Drosophila melanogaster: one gene and its partners. The protein of the gene in region 2 interacts with the protein of the main gene of each other region in a pairwise test. Each region holds a gene or a part of one and is shown on either strand. Other genes may lie near its edges.

Region 1 (7,687 bases), 9.0 Mb from region 2:
TAGGGCTACCCCTTATATAGGATTTTCGAATCTCACCTAGTTGCACGAGGAAGAGTCTAACGGTATCCTCGCTGAGCGTCCCCTTGACACTCAGATAATCCGCCAAGTCGCCGCCATTGCAATACTGTAAAGAGAAAGGATGAAGAGCGTGAGTGGAGCTGATTGGGAAATTAAATTAAGAGAGACCCCCACGAGTCAAGAGTTCAGCGCGCATATAAATCTTCTGGGACCCCAAAAGACCTCAAAAGCAGAATGCAACCCATGCAAACGAATTAAGTCCAATCAGTGCGAAAATGAAAGAGTCCCGAGATTTGATTCAGTCGGTCTTTCCATCTTTTAGCTTCCAGCTGCTCGCTCGACTTTTGTGCAAATCCCAGTCAATCATAGAAAACGGCAAGGTCAAAGCGAATATGATTTATGGCAATTTTCTGAATCAAGAACTGGAATTAGGGAAATATGTTTATGGATCAGCCCAGACAGCCAGCTGCTTTTCTTTTGTCGTTTGCCCAACAAAGGTTCTGTTCCGGTTTATGTCAGCAGATGCGGAGAAAGAGTTGGGGTAAAAATAAGCTATAGAATATTGAATATGCTAGGGGAATTTACACTTGGAATTTTAAATACACTTCCATGTAATCTTTAATCTTTGAAGTAAAGCACCAGTTAGGTTTTTTAAAAATGCCCGTTCACTGCAGTGATTTTTCCATACTCATTTGAGAATAATTAATAATTTTCTCTTTTAATATATAATATAATATAATATTATAATAATAAGCCATTGATAAAGTATATGATAGTGAATGCTAAACAAAAGGCAACAAAATGTTCAAATAAAATATAAACCTCTAAGCATTCGAAAACAGCAAAAAGGAATATCAGTTATCATGAAGAAGTTTTTGAAAAACTTGAAAATGAAAATAGAATATCCCGATATGGGAGAACTTTGTAAGCAGCCCTCGCTAAAATGTAAATGAAGAGAACGAACCCCTGTCTCTCCAAAATGCCGTTATATTTTTGGCCTGAGCAAGTTGCCTAAAAGGATTTGCGATTTTTGACCTTGAGGCCGCCAATCGAAGACATGACTATAGAATTCCACACGAACACAACCACCAAAAACCAACAAAAGTAATGTGCGCGGCGAACATTTTTATCCGCTTTTATGGATTTTTTGTTTTTCATGAGAAAATATATGGACCACTTACAGTTTAATGAGCAAACAAAGCAACATTAGGCAATTAAACAGCCAATTTGAAATGACAAAAGATTTCACTGCACTCGCTTTTTGTGAAATCGCTAAAATCGCCGAAGAGAAGCGAAGAGCGAAGAACATTAAACAAAAAGTCATTGACATGTAAAGTACATAAACATAAACATAAAAGTAAAAGTTTGAAGGAAATGGTGGAATACTCGCAACGAAGAGGGTTTTTCTTCCTCTGGGGCTTTTTAACAATTTCTAAATTATATGCAATGCCATTTCCCGGCAACAAGTGCCCATGAGTCAGCGATTTATTGAAAAATGCACTTGCGTAATTAATGGGCTTCTCTGTTTTTTCTTTCTTTTTTAAATATTATTTTGAAGAATCAAGTGTGAAGAGAGCGATTCGAAAGCTAAGAGAAGACTCTCTTCAGCCGCTCTATTTCAACTTACTCAATTTTTAAGCTCGCAACTTCTGCGGTTCCGTTCGCAGCTCATTCTCAAATCGACGGTGGCATGAGTCGCACGTTATCGCGCGACAACAAAAAGCCAAGTTAGCAAATCATTAAGTATAATTTAAACGCGATACTCCTCCATTCAGTAGAATTCGATGAGAAAACTCTCTAGTGTAATACCCAATTTAGTACATATATTATCGAGAAAAACGACGACGCGTGTCATTCGAAGTAAGCGCAGTGGACTAAAGGTCAACATATTCTAGGCGATAAAAAGAACGCTGCTGCTATACATTGTTCATCGCAATCACAACACAAAGACCTAGAAACGGGATTAAAACAAGAGTTTAACTTAGCACTCGGTGAAACAAATATTCAAACAAACTTTTCACTCAAATCACGTCCAATTTAATCGCTATGATTCAGCCAGCCAAGTGTTTCACATTTTTCCAGCAAATTATGTAAATAAACTGTGAAAGCTTCCCTTTTTTCATATCAAAAGGCGGGCCGACCGACTTATAAGTCAAGTCCAAAGCAAAGTTCATTACGATCGGCGTTAATTCTAATCAGACAAGTGTGTAATTAATTTTATTAATATTACAAGCCGTCCTAAAGATTTCTTTGTACTTCCAAATCTGCTGCTTAAGTTATTATGTTGAAAATATGGCAATTGAAATTTTAATTTCTAATGTGATGTAATGCTTATTAATTAAGATAGGATTACCCAAACCGATTAGCCTTTATTTACGGTGCTTAAAGTGTGAGTTTGCTCTTTCTGTTTTCATTGAAAACATGAATTCCATAATTGTTACTATTGATAATAATCGATTAGTAAGTCAGAAGTTGGTTAAAAGCTAAGCAGAAATCGCGAGGGTATGAGACAAAGCAATTAAATATTAAAAACTGATAAGATAACCACGGCTAAACATTAAACTTAACATGAGAGAGTTTGGAAGAGAGAGTGAGAGTAAAGAAAAAGAGATAATATTTGCCGCTCTTCGAAGCTCTCACACACACACCTGTTCAGTCAGTCGAACGGAATGGGAATTGTTGGCGAATTTTTGCTCATTCGAGAATCGGCAGCGAGTGGAAAAGTTTGTGCGAGCGGAGTGAAAAATAATTATTTTACTTTTGCCAAAAGTAAGCCGGCAAATGTAAATGGACATTAATCAACTTTGAAGCTGTAATTTCAAAGCAAAACAGATGAATATTAAAAGTGCAAAGTGAAACGAGAATAGCGGTGCAAAAATAGGCCCCTAACACCTAATAAAATCTATTTTCAGCTTGAAAATTTTCACATCAAGTTTGGCAAAAACGACGAAAATGCTATGAAAACCCTGAGATAAACACAAATACAAACAACACGACGCCTTGAAGACGCAGTGAAAACAAAGCTAAACAAATATCAGTAAACAAATAATTCATAATAATGCACGTGTACTACAAGTTTGGATTACTGCTGATATTTTTGCTAAGCGTGAGGTAAAAATCAAGTTGTAATAAATATTTACAGATCTCGATATGTGGAGAAATCACATTTGTTATTCTTATGGGGCTGGAAAATAAGTAATCCATTTATTTATAGAAATCAGTAGACCCTTTCCTAAAAACGAAAAACAGGGAAGACACGGGGCAAAGTTTCCGTTTAGCAACATTCGCAGTGATTAATTCACTAAAAACGAAATAACGACAGGTGAACCAGGGTAACGGGACTTTGACCCGCCCACAACTGAGATATCAATGCCAAATGGAATACTCACGCATGGGGTTATAAAAAAAAAACAGCAACATTTTATTGATAGTCCACGGCAACCGCTCTTAATTGCCGCCTTTAATATATATATAAGGTGCACGAATTTACACTCTACTTAATCATATCGCATAATCTGGTTCTGATAAAAATAATAACAATTCCCCGGTTGTCCGATAATTTATACCGTTATTGCTTATCAAATTGTTTGCTCAGCGTTTTGAATTTCTCAACCAATATCTCAAGCAATATTGCAAATGACATAGAAATTTATAACTGTCTCGATTTTCAGATTTTTCTTTTAATTTACAACTGAAACGAGGTTTAGACATTATCGATTATGTATAAATATTCTATATTCTTGCCCTAAAAAAAATCTTTTTAAATACTTCTGAGTTTTAAAACCTAAGATAAAATTCTTTAATCGTTCTTTGCATGTTAGTACTAGTATAATTTTCCCAGTGCACATAAGCCCATTTCTCTATTGATTTTTGGGCCTTTTTAAACCTTTTCAGCCACTCGAAATCAAATGTCAAAGTAGAGTGCTTTTAAGTGCGACGCTTCCAATTTTAGTCACTTCATTCAAGTAGTCAAGGGAATTACGTCGACTAGGTCGTCATGCTTAGTAACAGTTTAGAGATCTTTCGTAATACCCATTAACTTCGGCGAGCAGCTGAAGCTTGAAGGCAATTCGTAACGTTCGATAAATATATCTTTATTATCCGGTAGGACTATATACCAATTAATAGCTACATATCAGCACTTGCGGTTCAAGTACTCGACTCTATAAAGTCGTTCATTCTGTTCATTTTGGCACTTTTAAGGATTGACAAGGCTCCTCAGCAGCATTCATTGAAACTTCACTCAAAAGTCACGCAATTGAAGAGAACTCTACATGGCAGTCAAAAGACTCACTTGAACTACTCTACTAGCCAATTTACACCTTTTTTTCTAAAAGTAAATACAACCCACTAGAACTGAAGTCGCCGAATGCACGGATAACGAACGATTTAGAATCAGACAAAAAAAAAAATGAAGAGGGGTCACAAATGACAGCAAAAAAATAAAATAAATCTGAAAAAAGTGAGAGTAAACGAAATCGTAAACTAAAACCGGTCGAGTTGTCTCTTTTGCCATGAAGTAAACTGGTTTCATCTGTGCTTTTTACTGAGTAGCTACAGTACGTTTCGAAAATGTAAGGTCAGTTAACAGAAACAAATAAACAACTTTACAGACAATAAAAGTGCTTGAGTTACAATAAAAGAAATGTGTGCTTTCTTTATTTTCTTTAGCTTGAAAGTATATCTATTTGATTTTACTTTATTCTTAAAAAACGAAAGGCAAAATATATTTTACAATATATGCATAATCTAATGAATTGCATTAAGAAGCCTTGTATCATTGAATACTTTTAATTCATTTAAGGGCTATTGCTGTGACCACGACTGTAGCGAGAAATACTTTGTATGTAGGCTTGTTCGCACATGTGAGTGTATTCATTCATGTTCTTTCGCGGAGCAAACATAAACAATAGCCGTATAATGATAGTGGGGAAAACGAATGTTTCTGTGTGGCTATGGCGTGGTCATAACGATATGGGTCAAGAGCGTTTTCAGGACAAATTAGCTAGGTGTGTTCGCCTTCAAGACGTGAGTGATGTAAGCACGTACCGCTTAGAACCCACCGACAATCTAAAGCCAAATATTGACAATTTTGGGTATTTGGTAAAACCACTTAACGAATTCGTACAGTAATTGCTCTATCAGAAATGCGCATTCGTTTGACATATAATTGCCCTGCGTTTTTCTTCATAAGCAATGTGAATTCGTTTATAAGTCGTGGAAAAAACCAAATTGGTATATTGTTGGTTTATTCAGTCGAGACCGGAAAATAATTTAATGATTACTCTTACAGCATCAGCCACACAAATGCCGCTCCAGCGGGCAGTGAGGAGGCAAATCCCCTCGAGGACTTTAATTACGGCGATGATGACTACAGTGAAACAGCGACGGGCGAGGAATCGCCGGAGACAGCAGAAAATAGACTGATGCCACAATCATCCTCCACATCGACCACCACCACATTTCGACCAATATTTAGTGAGCATAACATAAATCTATATATTCCGAACTGAAAAGGCTAATGAATATCGTTTTGCAGATATACCACGACGCAGCAACCATGTCCTGGAGCCCAGTTGCCCGCGCAACTGCCTCTGCCTGGAGGACTTCAAGTTCGTTCAGTGTGCCAATGCCCATTTGACCCATGTACCCCTGGACATGCCCAAAACGGCGGCCATCATCGATCTGAGCCATAATGTGATTGCCGAACTGAGGCCGGAGGATTTTGCCAATCTGTCCAGGGCGGTGGAAATCAATTTGAATCACAATCTGATCAGCAGCATAGACAAGGATGTAAGTGCCCAGCTAATTCTACTAATTAGATAAATTGTAACTAATGTGCTTATTATCTATTGTAGGTCTTTCAGGGATCGGAGCGTTTGAAGCGCCTGCGGCTGGCCAACAACCGTCTAACCAAAATCGATCCCGACACCTTTGCGGCGGCCAAGGAACTAACGCTACTCGATTTGAGCAACAACACCATAACCCAGCGCCTGGACGGATCCTTCTTGAACCAGCCCGACTTGGTGGAGTTCAGCTGCGTCAACTGCAGCTGGACGGAACTGCCGGAACAGACGTTCCAGAACATGAGTGGCCTGGAGGTGTTGCGCTTGAACAAGAACGATTTTAAACAGGTAAGAATGGCGAGCCAAAAGTGCGATAGCACAAGTTATCGCTCTATCGATAGTTGGCGCAACTGAAGCCAAAACAGCTGTGTTTGCCATCGCGCAGTTGTCTATATAGTTGTCCCGCTCACGCTTTTCCATTCCGACAGCAAATCAATACGAAAGCTTTCTCGCCGCTAACAAAAATAATTAAACTGAAGCTGCCGGAACTGGAACAACAGAACATCGAGGAGCTGTGCAGCCTGCTGACCTCCATCGACACGATTAGCTTCCTCAACTACGACATCAGCTGCTACGAATTCGTACTGGGCACCCCCTTCAACGGCAGTCTCATCTATCCCACGGAGCCGCCGCTCAAGGGGATTACAAATCCGCCCATCGTCGCCAGCATCACCAGCACTGCAAAGCCAGTGACCGCCACACCCGCACCGCCCAGAAGTGGTGAGCTATTTCCCATGACTCGTAGATCATCTTGCTAACGTGTCTGTTGCTCACCTCCCATTGTTCGCATTTAGCCAATCGCAATCGGGGCAAAATGGACAACAGCACGGAGCTGGTCAAAGCCGGAATCCTGAGCTCCGAGACCAGCACAAGCGGAGTCAGCGTGGAGCCGCCTGCCGAGAGCCAGACCAATCAGGTGCAGATCTCCCAGGAGGCCATCAACACGCTGCTCATCTGTGAGTACAAACTGCGGTTTAAGGTTTATAACATCAACTATTTTAAGCATCTTGCTAAACAGTTATAGTTTGAGTTATACACCTTTTACTTGCGGTACAAAACCAGACTAATTTGTTCAATTTAATCCACTAGGCATCATGGTTCTGGCCGTGATTGGCATCGTCATCGGACTCATTTGCCGCCAGGATATTGGCGGCATCAAAACCAAATGCTGCCGCACTAGCAAACCAGAGCCAAAGGATCAGGTTCATCCCACTGAGGAGATACCACTGAATAAGCTAGCCTAAGAAAACTTTCCAAAACAAACCGAAACCAAACGATCGAAGATGAAAAGAGAATCCTATCCTTCTCCTCCAGTTTCGAGAACAAATTCCATTTTGACGGCATTTTTGATAGATTATAAATAGGTATATGTATATCACGTATGTATATGGCTAGTTAGTTAACTACTTTGACGCGGTATCTAGCCTAACTATATAGTCTCTCCTACAATGTTTCCCGCACAACAACTGAACCGAATCCGTTGTTAGATTCTAGTTGTTAGTCGGAGTAGGTTAAGCCGCCTAGTCGCTTAGCGTTCTGTTCTTTAGGGGGACTCGGTAAATGGGATCCCGCACCAAAACTCCTGGCACTGTTCTAGTTTTAGATCCCAAAATCAATTTTCATCGCAACACTTAAATTAATGTAAACCCATAGATACACTAGTTGTTAGCTTTAGACTTTTGCCAAAATACAATAAAAGTAATTATTGTACATAGTAAAAAAAAAGAAAACCATTGTTTTGAATTATGAAACCAAAAGATTAAAAAGATTACATCTGATAGACTTGATTATTTACCTATATACTCTCCTCATATCACATTCCT
Region 2 (3,946 bases):
ATTTTGGCAGGACTCCTGGTCACAATGACGCCGGCCTTCTCCAGGGCGGCGATCTTGTCGTTGGCACCTCCCTTTCCTCCGGAAATGATGGCTCCAGCGTGACCCATGCGACGGCCGGGTGGCGCCGACACTCCGGCAATGAACGAGACGACAGGCTTGGCCTTGATGCCCTGCAATAGGATACAAAAACATTTAGCAATGAAATACATTGATCCGTGATGGCTTCTCATACCGAATTGTACTCGGTCAGGTAGTCGGCAGCCTTCTCCTCGGCAACGCCTCCGATCTCGCCGATCAGGATGATGCCCTTGGTCTCGGGATCCTTGAGGAAGACCTCCAGGCAGTCGATGAAGTCGGTTCCGTTGAACGGATCGCCTCCAATGCCCACGCACAGGGTCTGGCCCAGACCCACCTCCGTGGTCTGGTGCACGGCCTCGTAGGTCAAGGTTCCCGAGCGCGAGACCACGCCGATCTTGCCGCGCTTGTGAATGTGACCCGGCATGATGCCGATCTTGCACTGCAATCAGAAAAAACATAGTTTAAGATTATACAATTGACTTAACTGAAAGTGGAGTGAAGTGGGTAATCACTAAGTTTTGTGACGCATAGAAAGATAAGCGTTATAAATGGTAATAAAAAACGTATCGTCCGCAAATTCCACCAACTTCAGGTGCAAAGTTCAATGCCCAAATTTAAGGGTGTGTCAATGGAGGCCTGTTTATACATTAACAATAAGCAAATTGAAAACGGAATAGTAAACAGATATATGTAGTTCAAAGCGAGCGTCATACCAAGAGATAAGAAAACCACCAGATGAACGTGGACTTTGCCCTCTGGCCAAGCTTATCTCTCAAGCGCTGGAGATGTACGAACCTGTTCGGGGGCGATGATTCCCGGGCAGTTGGGACCCACCAATCGCGACTTGCTCTGGCTGATGAGGGCGTGCTTCACCTTCACCATGTCGTGCTGCGGCACACCCTCCGTAATGCAAACGATCAGGGGGATCTCCGCTTCCAGAGCCTCGATGATGGCGGCCGCAGCGCCCGGTGGTGGCACATAGATGACGGTGGCATGTGGATCGGTGGCCTTCTTGGCCTCCGCCACCGAAGCGAAGACGGGCAGTCCCAGATGCTGGGTGCCTCCCTTCTTGGGGGAAATGCCGCCGACCAACTTGGTGCCGTACTCCAGAGCCTGTTGGCTGTGGAACGTGCCCTGTTTGCCGGTGAATCCCTGGCAGATCACCCGCGAATCGCCGTTCAGCTTCAAGTTGCCGCGCGTCTTGTTGTACTGCGAATTGCAGCGCACTCCGGCCACGAAGCCATCTGAAAAATGTAAGAATGAATCATTTTAGGACTAAAGTTGGAAATTTAGTATTTTGGATATTAATAAACCAGCCTGCAAGTGTAAACTTACATAGTTACATGATAATTTCATTTGCGTAACGTTCGAGAAAGGTTTATTATTTATTAAATTCCTATATTTCTTGCCCATTTTCCAAGTACACATAATTGATTTTCTAGATCGAATGGAATATGTTCCAGAACTCATGCCATATATAGATCTATTTAAGTTGAGTATTTTCTTTAAGAATATCAGTCGCTTTGCAAGATGAAAGCTATCATCGTTTTTATTCTGTGTGAGTTTTTTTGGAGCTTATGTTGCTAACCGAAATTGTTTTACTTTTACATCCCCTTTAGTCATTTCAAGTGTGCATGCTATGAGCAAATGCAACCAAGCAATTTATCTAAATCTTGATCCTCACTGCGGAATACTTCCCGATTGTAACTTAGATGGTCCAAATCCAAGTTACCTCAAAAGGGTGTCGTGTGAACGCAAAGAAAACGGAAAACCAGGTGGGTAATTGTTGACACCTTTTGTGTTTCAGAAAACTTAATCGATTCGTTTAGGATTCATCGAACTAATTCCCGGAAAATGTCTCCATGGTAAACCGCGTTGCTCGTTAAAATAGTAATATTGTTCCAATATTTCCATGCATATATGTTTCAATTAAAGGCATTATAAATACCTATATTCTATAATTCTTCTGAGAAGCATTTTAAAGCATTAAATTATATGTAAACTACTCAATCTGCGTGCGATTATGAAAGCTTTGAGCTTCTTATTATTTCTGAGTGAGTTTCTACGCAAGAAACTGCGAGTAAATACATACGTTCTGAACTATTCAACCACTGCAGTTATGAATATATTCGAGACTGCGAATGGAAAGAGTGTCTGTGAAGGATTTATAAAAGCTGGAAGTCCATTCTGCGCGTTTGCCGCTACCTGTAACTTCCAAGGCTTGAGTCTTTTGCACGTTGGACAAGAGCAGTGCAAACTGACTGAACTGGGAAAGCCTCGTAGGTTCAATTCAATTATCGTATTCAGTTCGCCTAACCTTATTTACATGTCCAGTATTTCTGAAAATCAAGGCCGGAAGGTGTCCCCGGGGTAAACCCAGATGCAGGAAAACTAGATAAGGAAAATAACTTTTTTATATTATAAGGCATTTTATATCCTTGATCACTTTCAATAAAGATTTAACTCTTCATTTTTACCATTTTAAAAATCTATGTAATCTAAAGTTTAGAAACACCGCCTTTTGTGGCCTTGACATTTGTTAAGAAATTCCACACCTGTTGCTTTAATCGCCTTAAATACGACATGTTTCGGTAATTAGCAGCTAATCTTTGTAAAACCCTGCAACACTTGCGAAACATTCAATCTCAATCTCACCATGAAGATTTTCGGATATATCCTTATACTCAGTGAGTTACCTAAGATTTAATGGGAATATACCTATAAACATGGTATGGTTTCATCCCTGTGACAGTTGTAACAATGATAGAAGTCAATGGTGTCCTAACTGTTGAAGAATGCCAAAAGTTCTTGAACCCCCCAATTCAGCTACGGTGAAAGCAGATCCATGGTGCGGAATAACAGCGGATTGCCACTATACCTTCCTTACTGCCAGCTTCCTGAAGACCGAAGTCTGCTTTCGTAAAGTAAATGGTTTGCCAGGTAGGTCTGACCAGTTTGACTTTTAGAACGATACTAAGTTTATCCATGCTTTCAGAACTCAAAAAAGTAATTCATGCCAAATGCCCTAAGGGCAAATATTCATAAATATAGATCGGAGCTTGGAAAAAATATCCCAAACTAAATTAGAATTAAATAACTTTTTGACGAAGGCAAATGCTTGCAGCAATTATTTGTTTGAACTATTAAATTAAAAGTATACACGTATATCCACTACGAGAAAAGTTAAAAAGTGATGGTCACCAAAGCGGTGTTCCACTGTACTTGTTGCCGAAAAAAAACGGTTGTTTGTACGCTGGGTCACATGCAAGCGAACCTTGAACACAACCCCCGCACTCCCCCTCTTTAATCATTTCAAAGCCACGTATCTGCGGATTCGCAAATTGAGCCGCTTATTAATCCGAATGGAGGCCGACTAATCAGCAGATGCGTCGGAACGACAGGTGCTCCCTAATTGCTTGGATATTTGTTCTTTTGGTGCCGTAAATCCATTGAAGTTATATAATTTATTATGCTGTTAGGCTATCGGGCGTGTTAGGCAACCGATGTGGAGAATACGCACCTCGCACTTTCAGCAGCGCCCTCATTGAAGCAGCCATATTATCTGTGTGTGGTGGTTGTGCGATAAAAACAGCTTTACTCAATTAAAACGCGTTTAATTAATGCAGTGCGAAATCGGCCGAATAGTGCTGAGTTAACCACTGCGATAGTATCGATAGAGCGACTGCAAAGGCTTACGACACACCATCGATATTTTAGCTGCGATAAGTTACAATCGGGGTATTCCACAAATCGATTAGAAAGTTGAACAGTTACATTTCAAACAGCTGTTCTATGAAAATGTAATTAGCTAAATATTTTAAAAAGATAATTAAAAAAAAAAAAATAAGAAACGTCGAAAATTAATGTT
Region 3 (4,730 bases), on a different chromosome or scaffold from region 2:
ATATTTATACCTTCTAGGCTTGAAGTCACTTGCACTTTTCAACGTATAACATGCTTTCCAACGAACTAATTTATTAAATTGCAATGCCAGAAATTCAACTAAACAGCAATACGTCCGCGCGTAGAAAAGATCTTAAAGGTACTGAGTGTGAGCAACATGATTAGCTCTCGGTGCTAAATTCGCCGGAGATAACCCAGATTAGATTTCGGTTATATTTTTTGAAGATAATGGCTTTATGTTGAATACCAGTCTGGTTCAAAAAAACCTTAAATGATATGCTAAAGATAAAAAGATATAAAAGTATGTACTTACTATTTGTACTTTGTTTTATTGAATCATTTTGTCTAGACTTCAACTTAAACCTTAATAACATAAAACACCGGCATGTGCAGAATTTAAGAAGTCGCCCAAATACAATAAATAATAATAATTTTTATTAAGACACTGAGAGAAAAATTAAGTTTCGATATTAAATTAGGAACGAACGATAAAAAAAAAAAAAACTTAAAAGCAAACACATAAGTTCAAGAACGAGTAACCGAAATTATAAACTTGAGAACGAACGTTCACATATAAACAAAAGTCTCACTTCAATCCTCAAGTATCGTTAAGATATATGACTTGTAGTTAAGGCACATTGTTTATATGTTATTAGCCAGAAAATTGGGCAATACAGCTTTACATATATAATTGTACACTTTCCTCGTAGAATATAAGGGTTAAAAACTATGAAACAAGAAAGTGTTTTTGACCCTACAAATGTGTATTTATTCAATTAAATCTGGGTATCTGATAGGAATTGAGTTCTTTCTTGTTAGTTCAAATTACATTATTTTTTTTATCAATGGAACTATAGTCAATCCATAATCAAATGGAAAGTTTGTCGAACCTGTAAAATCTGGAAATTGAGATTATTCATGCAGTTTTTGGTGGCGCCTTTTATTTTTATACCCTTGCAAATGGTACATTGATTTCATTCAGATTCGTATATTCAACAGTAGAGTCGATACAGTCATGTTTGTCTTCGTTCAATTTCAGTTAGTATACATATAGGTTGGACCACTATATCATATTGCTGTTATAGGGATAATCGAAAAATAATGGTAAGTATTAATATATGTATGAGATATACAACAGTTTTTGACCATATTTTAATTTGATGAAAATCAAAAGAAAATATATCATATAACTGCCGTACAGCCAAGGCAAACCAAATTTTAATTAAAGTATTTAATTATCGTTATAATTGTGTTCAATTATCCGCCGGCTAGATCGGAAACAGGAAGTTACTGTTGATGTATATTCGTTTAAGGAAATACGGTAAGAACGTTGGCAGCATGGGTTAATTTTTCAGCTTTTGCAAAAGCTCCAAAGTAAATGCAGGCTTGTGGTAACTATCATCGCATGTGAACAGCGTTGTACACACACACACTTGCACATTTACACCTGGGTATTGAAGTTATCAGCTAAAAGAGAACTGACTTCCTCCGATTGTACATATATATATATATATATATATATATGTATACAAACATATATATGTGTGTAGAGCAGATAACCACTGCATGCGGAGAAGAGCTTGGCAGGTGTTAGTGAGTTCAGGTGAAATTGATTATGCGAATGGGGGTAAAAAAAATATGGCCAAACAGTGAGGGAGCCAGTTAAAAAACGGTGGTCGATCCAGCCGGTCCGACATTTCAGTTGAGAAGCCAGAAAGAATAGAAAACCGAGAGCCATGAGAGAATACAGCCTGTGTATGATTGTGATAGCAGCTTTCATTGCCAGCCAGCTGGACAGCACCTCAGCCCTCCGTAGGTTACCACATTTTGGATGAGTTTTTTCAAATGACTTACTTCAAATTATTATTGCCATTGCAGAGTGCTATTCGTGCACATCGACGACGAATGACACTGGAAATTGTTTAACGAGTCCATCTACTCAAACTTCTATAGAGTGTGATAATGAATGCTATACTCTTATTAACGCAGGTGGGTTTGTATGACTCATGACCGACTATTTCATATTCTTAGACGGGGGTAGTGGCCCTCTTATCGATCAGTGCAACCAAAGGTGATAAGCGATTATCTCTTTTTCTTTTTGATAGCTATTGATCCTTGTTTTCTTTTCTAATTTCGTGCGGATCGAAAAAGGTTTATGATGTTGTGACTCATTTGGCAGTTACTGCACTACCTGGCTTTTTCGTGTTGTTGTCTAAGATTTAAATATTGCGTATAATTTGATTTAATAACGAAGAGAACGCTAAAGTGGAGTCACTCGACCATCAGATACCTCTTTATTCAGCTTGTGGGAGTTTAAGGTACACATTTAAACATTCTGTTGAAGTATCAGTAGAATCTGGCACGCTTTGTGGGCTTTAGAGTGGGCGTGAAAATGATCTGAATGAAATTAGCACAGCTTAGGCGCCACTAGAATCTGCAGGCTCTCAACTTATAAGGAATATATAAGTTATATTAGAAATCATTATAAGTTTATATTAGAAATCATACGAAGTTTTGCTCTGAACCATATTCCCTTGCATCTAGTTATTGATTTTCTGTATCCCAATAGGAACTCTAACTCGTGGCTGCTTGATTAATGGCACTGCGTGCACCTTACCATCCTGCTCGACCTGCAAGGAAGACAATTGCAATTTGAATTTGGTGTGCCAGCAGTGCCTCGGCGAAGCGAATTGCGCCACGACCAACGTGACGGATACGCAATACAATGCAGTGTGCCCCAATAATGGACAGGTCTGCGTGAATCAGTTGAATGACAACAAGACGGTGACCCGTCAATGTGGTGACCCCTGTGCTGCTGGAACGGAATCCACGTGCTCCTCATGCTCGGCATCCCTGTGCAATGTGGGACTATTCCCCGCCAATCGTCGCCAGTGCTATAATTGCTCAGGAGAGAACTGCAATGCGGTCTCAAATACCTTGGTCGCGGGATGTAGTCAAATCGATGCCGGGTGCTTCACCACCGGAACGTCTGCGAGCAACATGACCCGTGGTTGCACATCGGCCACCACGGAAATCAAGTGTGCGTCGGACAGCACTGATCCCAGTTGCCTCGTCTGCAACTCCGACTTTTGCAATAGTCCGACCTACGAACGAGAGGCCGGTTCCTGTATCATTTGCGAGAACTGTGCGGAGCAACAGGTTGCTACCAATGCGAAGTCCTGCGGACAGGCCAAGTACAACCAGGAAGTCGGGTGTTATACCATGACCTCAGGAACCAATGTTACCCGAGGGTGCCTAAACACCTTGGAGGCTGGCTGCTCTACAACCAATGCCTGCACTTCCTGCTCCGAAAATGGCTGCAATGTGGCTGCCGGCGAGTTCCAGTGCATTACATGCATTTCGAATGAGGTTTCCGGCTGCTGGTCGGCCAAATATCCGGACACGCTCCCTTTGATCAACTGCCCCAATGGAACGTGCTACAGCGGAGTCTGGAGTAAGTTGGTACCAAGTCTAAGCACAGCGAATCAATGCTATAGTTTTCAAAGATTTTATTTTATAATGTAAAAGGGTATTCCCAAATTGCATTATTATTATGCCAGCAAAAATCCTAACAATTGCCTTTCAACATTTTCCCCCAGATGAACTTGGAGTGCGAGGATGTTTTACCGCTGCCAGCCACCTGATGCAGTACCAGTGCAATGCCAAAGTGGAGGCCCATCAGTGCGAATTGTGTACGGAGAGCAAGTGCAACAAGGTACCCTTCAATGGAGCAGGCGCACTCAGGAATGTGGGCGTGGTCGGCCTTCTGACGGGAGTGGTGATCGCTCTACGCAGTGCCCTGTAATCCAACCACCTCCACGTAGTTGGATGATCCAATCAAATTACCGGGTGCCTGGGTCTATGAGTAATGTTAACTATTACAAAGCAACAGACAAAAAGACATAACCTAATTATAGGAGCTGAAGCATTTTAAGAACACTTCCATAATCCCAAATAAATCATTTTAATAAAACAATTACTCTTTCACAGTAGTTTAGTAATTATGTCCTTGGAAAACCCTGTTTTCATTGATGGCTAGTGGTAAAAGAGTTTTCAACCTGCTAGGCCTTATCAAATAAAGAAATAATCACAACGCCTTATCAACCGCAGTACCATTAATAATATACTTTGTACATATATGTGTGTATATTTATTGCATCAATCAAAATGAGAGTTTATATTAACAATAGTTCGAAGAAATTTGTTTGGGTGCACTAGAAGAGCCAGTTGGAAATGTCTCAGAAAGTATTTGTAGCATTCTTAGGTAACTCAAATTACATTTTCCATTACATGACGATGGTGATTTCGCCGAATTCCATAATTTTGGTTTTCAATTTGCCATTATTAAGCTGAACAGGCCTATAATATAATCATAAGTTTGCATTTTTCACTCCTAAAGAGCCAGCCGGCTAAACAGAAGATCATTAGACTTGAGTATATTATTCGCGATCCTGCATTCGTGGCCAAACCATTTTTATCTATTTCCACATAGTTGCAATCGTCTTCGAAACACCTCTCACAGAGTTCTGCATGTTTCTCGCAGTGTTCCAGTGAACTCTCGTCCATGTCGGAAATGCAGCTTCTCACCATAAAGCCATCTGGTCCTCCAGCACTGCTGTTGAAGTTGAAGTACATAGATACGCAACCGTTCAATTCGCCTAACTTTATGTGGCACATCTTTTTGCCCTTCCTAGTTCTGGTTTTCCCCTCATTGGGTGAGCAAAATTTACA

The links. The genes of interacting proteins can lie anywhere in the genome.
Region 1: the proteins of Acp63F (region 2) and CG42709 interact in a two-hybrid assay, tested with the Drosophila melanogaster proteins (one large-scale study listed by BioGRID).
Region 3: the proteins of Acp63F (region 2) and CG10650 interact in a two-hybrid assay, tested with the Drosophila melanogaster proteins (one large-scale study listed by BioGRID).

What each region holds. Positions count from the first base shown.
Region 1 is NT_037436.4:12,788,505-12,796,191, forward strand, and holds CG42709 (uncharacterized protein), read left to right. Parts: upstream 1-1,687; 5' UTR 1,688-1,878; intron 1,879-2,713; exon of another isoform or gene 2,714-2,930; 5' UTR 2,931-3,076; coding exon 3,077-3,129; intron 3,130-5,311; coding exon 5,312-5,496; intron 5,497-5,557; coding exon 5,558-5,811; intron 5,812-5,876; coding exon 5,877-6,152; intron 6,153-6,292; coding exon 6,293-6,584; intron 6,585-6,658; coding exon 6,659-6,820; intron 6,821-6,953; coding exon 6,954-7,108; 3' UTR 7,109-7,580; downstream 7,581-7,687. Other genes in the region: Atg1 (Autophagy-related 1), read right to left, coding at 37-124.
Region 2 is NT_037436.4:3,814,008-3,817,953, reverse strand, and holds Acp63F (accessory gland protein 63F), read left to right. Parts: upstream 1-1,599; 5' UTR 1,600-1,608; coding exon 1,609-1,636; intron 1,637-1,697; coding exon 1,698-1,853; intron 1,854-1,907; coding exon 1,908-1,969; 3' UTR 1,970-2,115; downstream 2,116-3,946. Other genes in the region: Scsalpha1 (Succinyl-coenzyme A synthetase alpha subunit 1), read right to left, coding at 1-170, 233-517, 874-1,322, 3,599-3,635. UniProt on the Drosophila melanogaster protein: Responsible for physiological and behavioral changes in mated female flies.
Region 3 is NT_033779.5:18,992,860-18,997,589, reverse strand, and holds CG10650 (uncharacterized protein), read left to right. Parts: upstream 1-1,655; 5' UTR 1,656-1,735; coding exon 1,736-1,811; intron 1,812-1,877; coding exon 1,878-1,988; intron 1,989-2,568; coding exon 2,569-3,453; intron 3,454-3,598; coding exon 3,599-3,804; 3' UTR 3,805-4,230; downstream 4,231-4,730. Other genes in the region: CG46465 (uncharacterized protein), read right to left, coding at 4,359-4,730.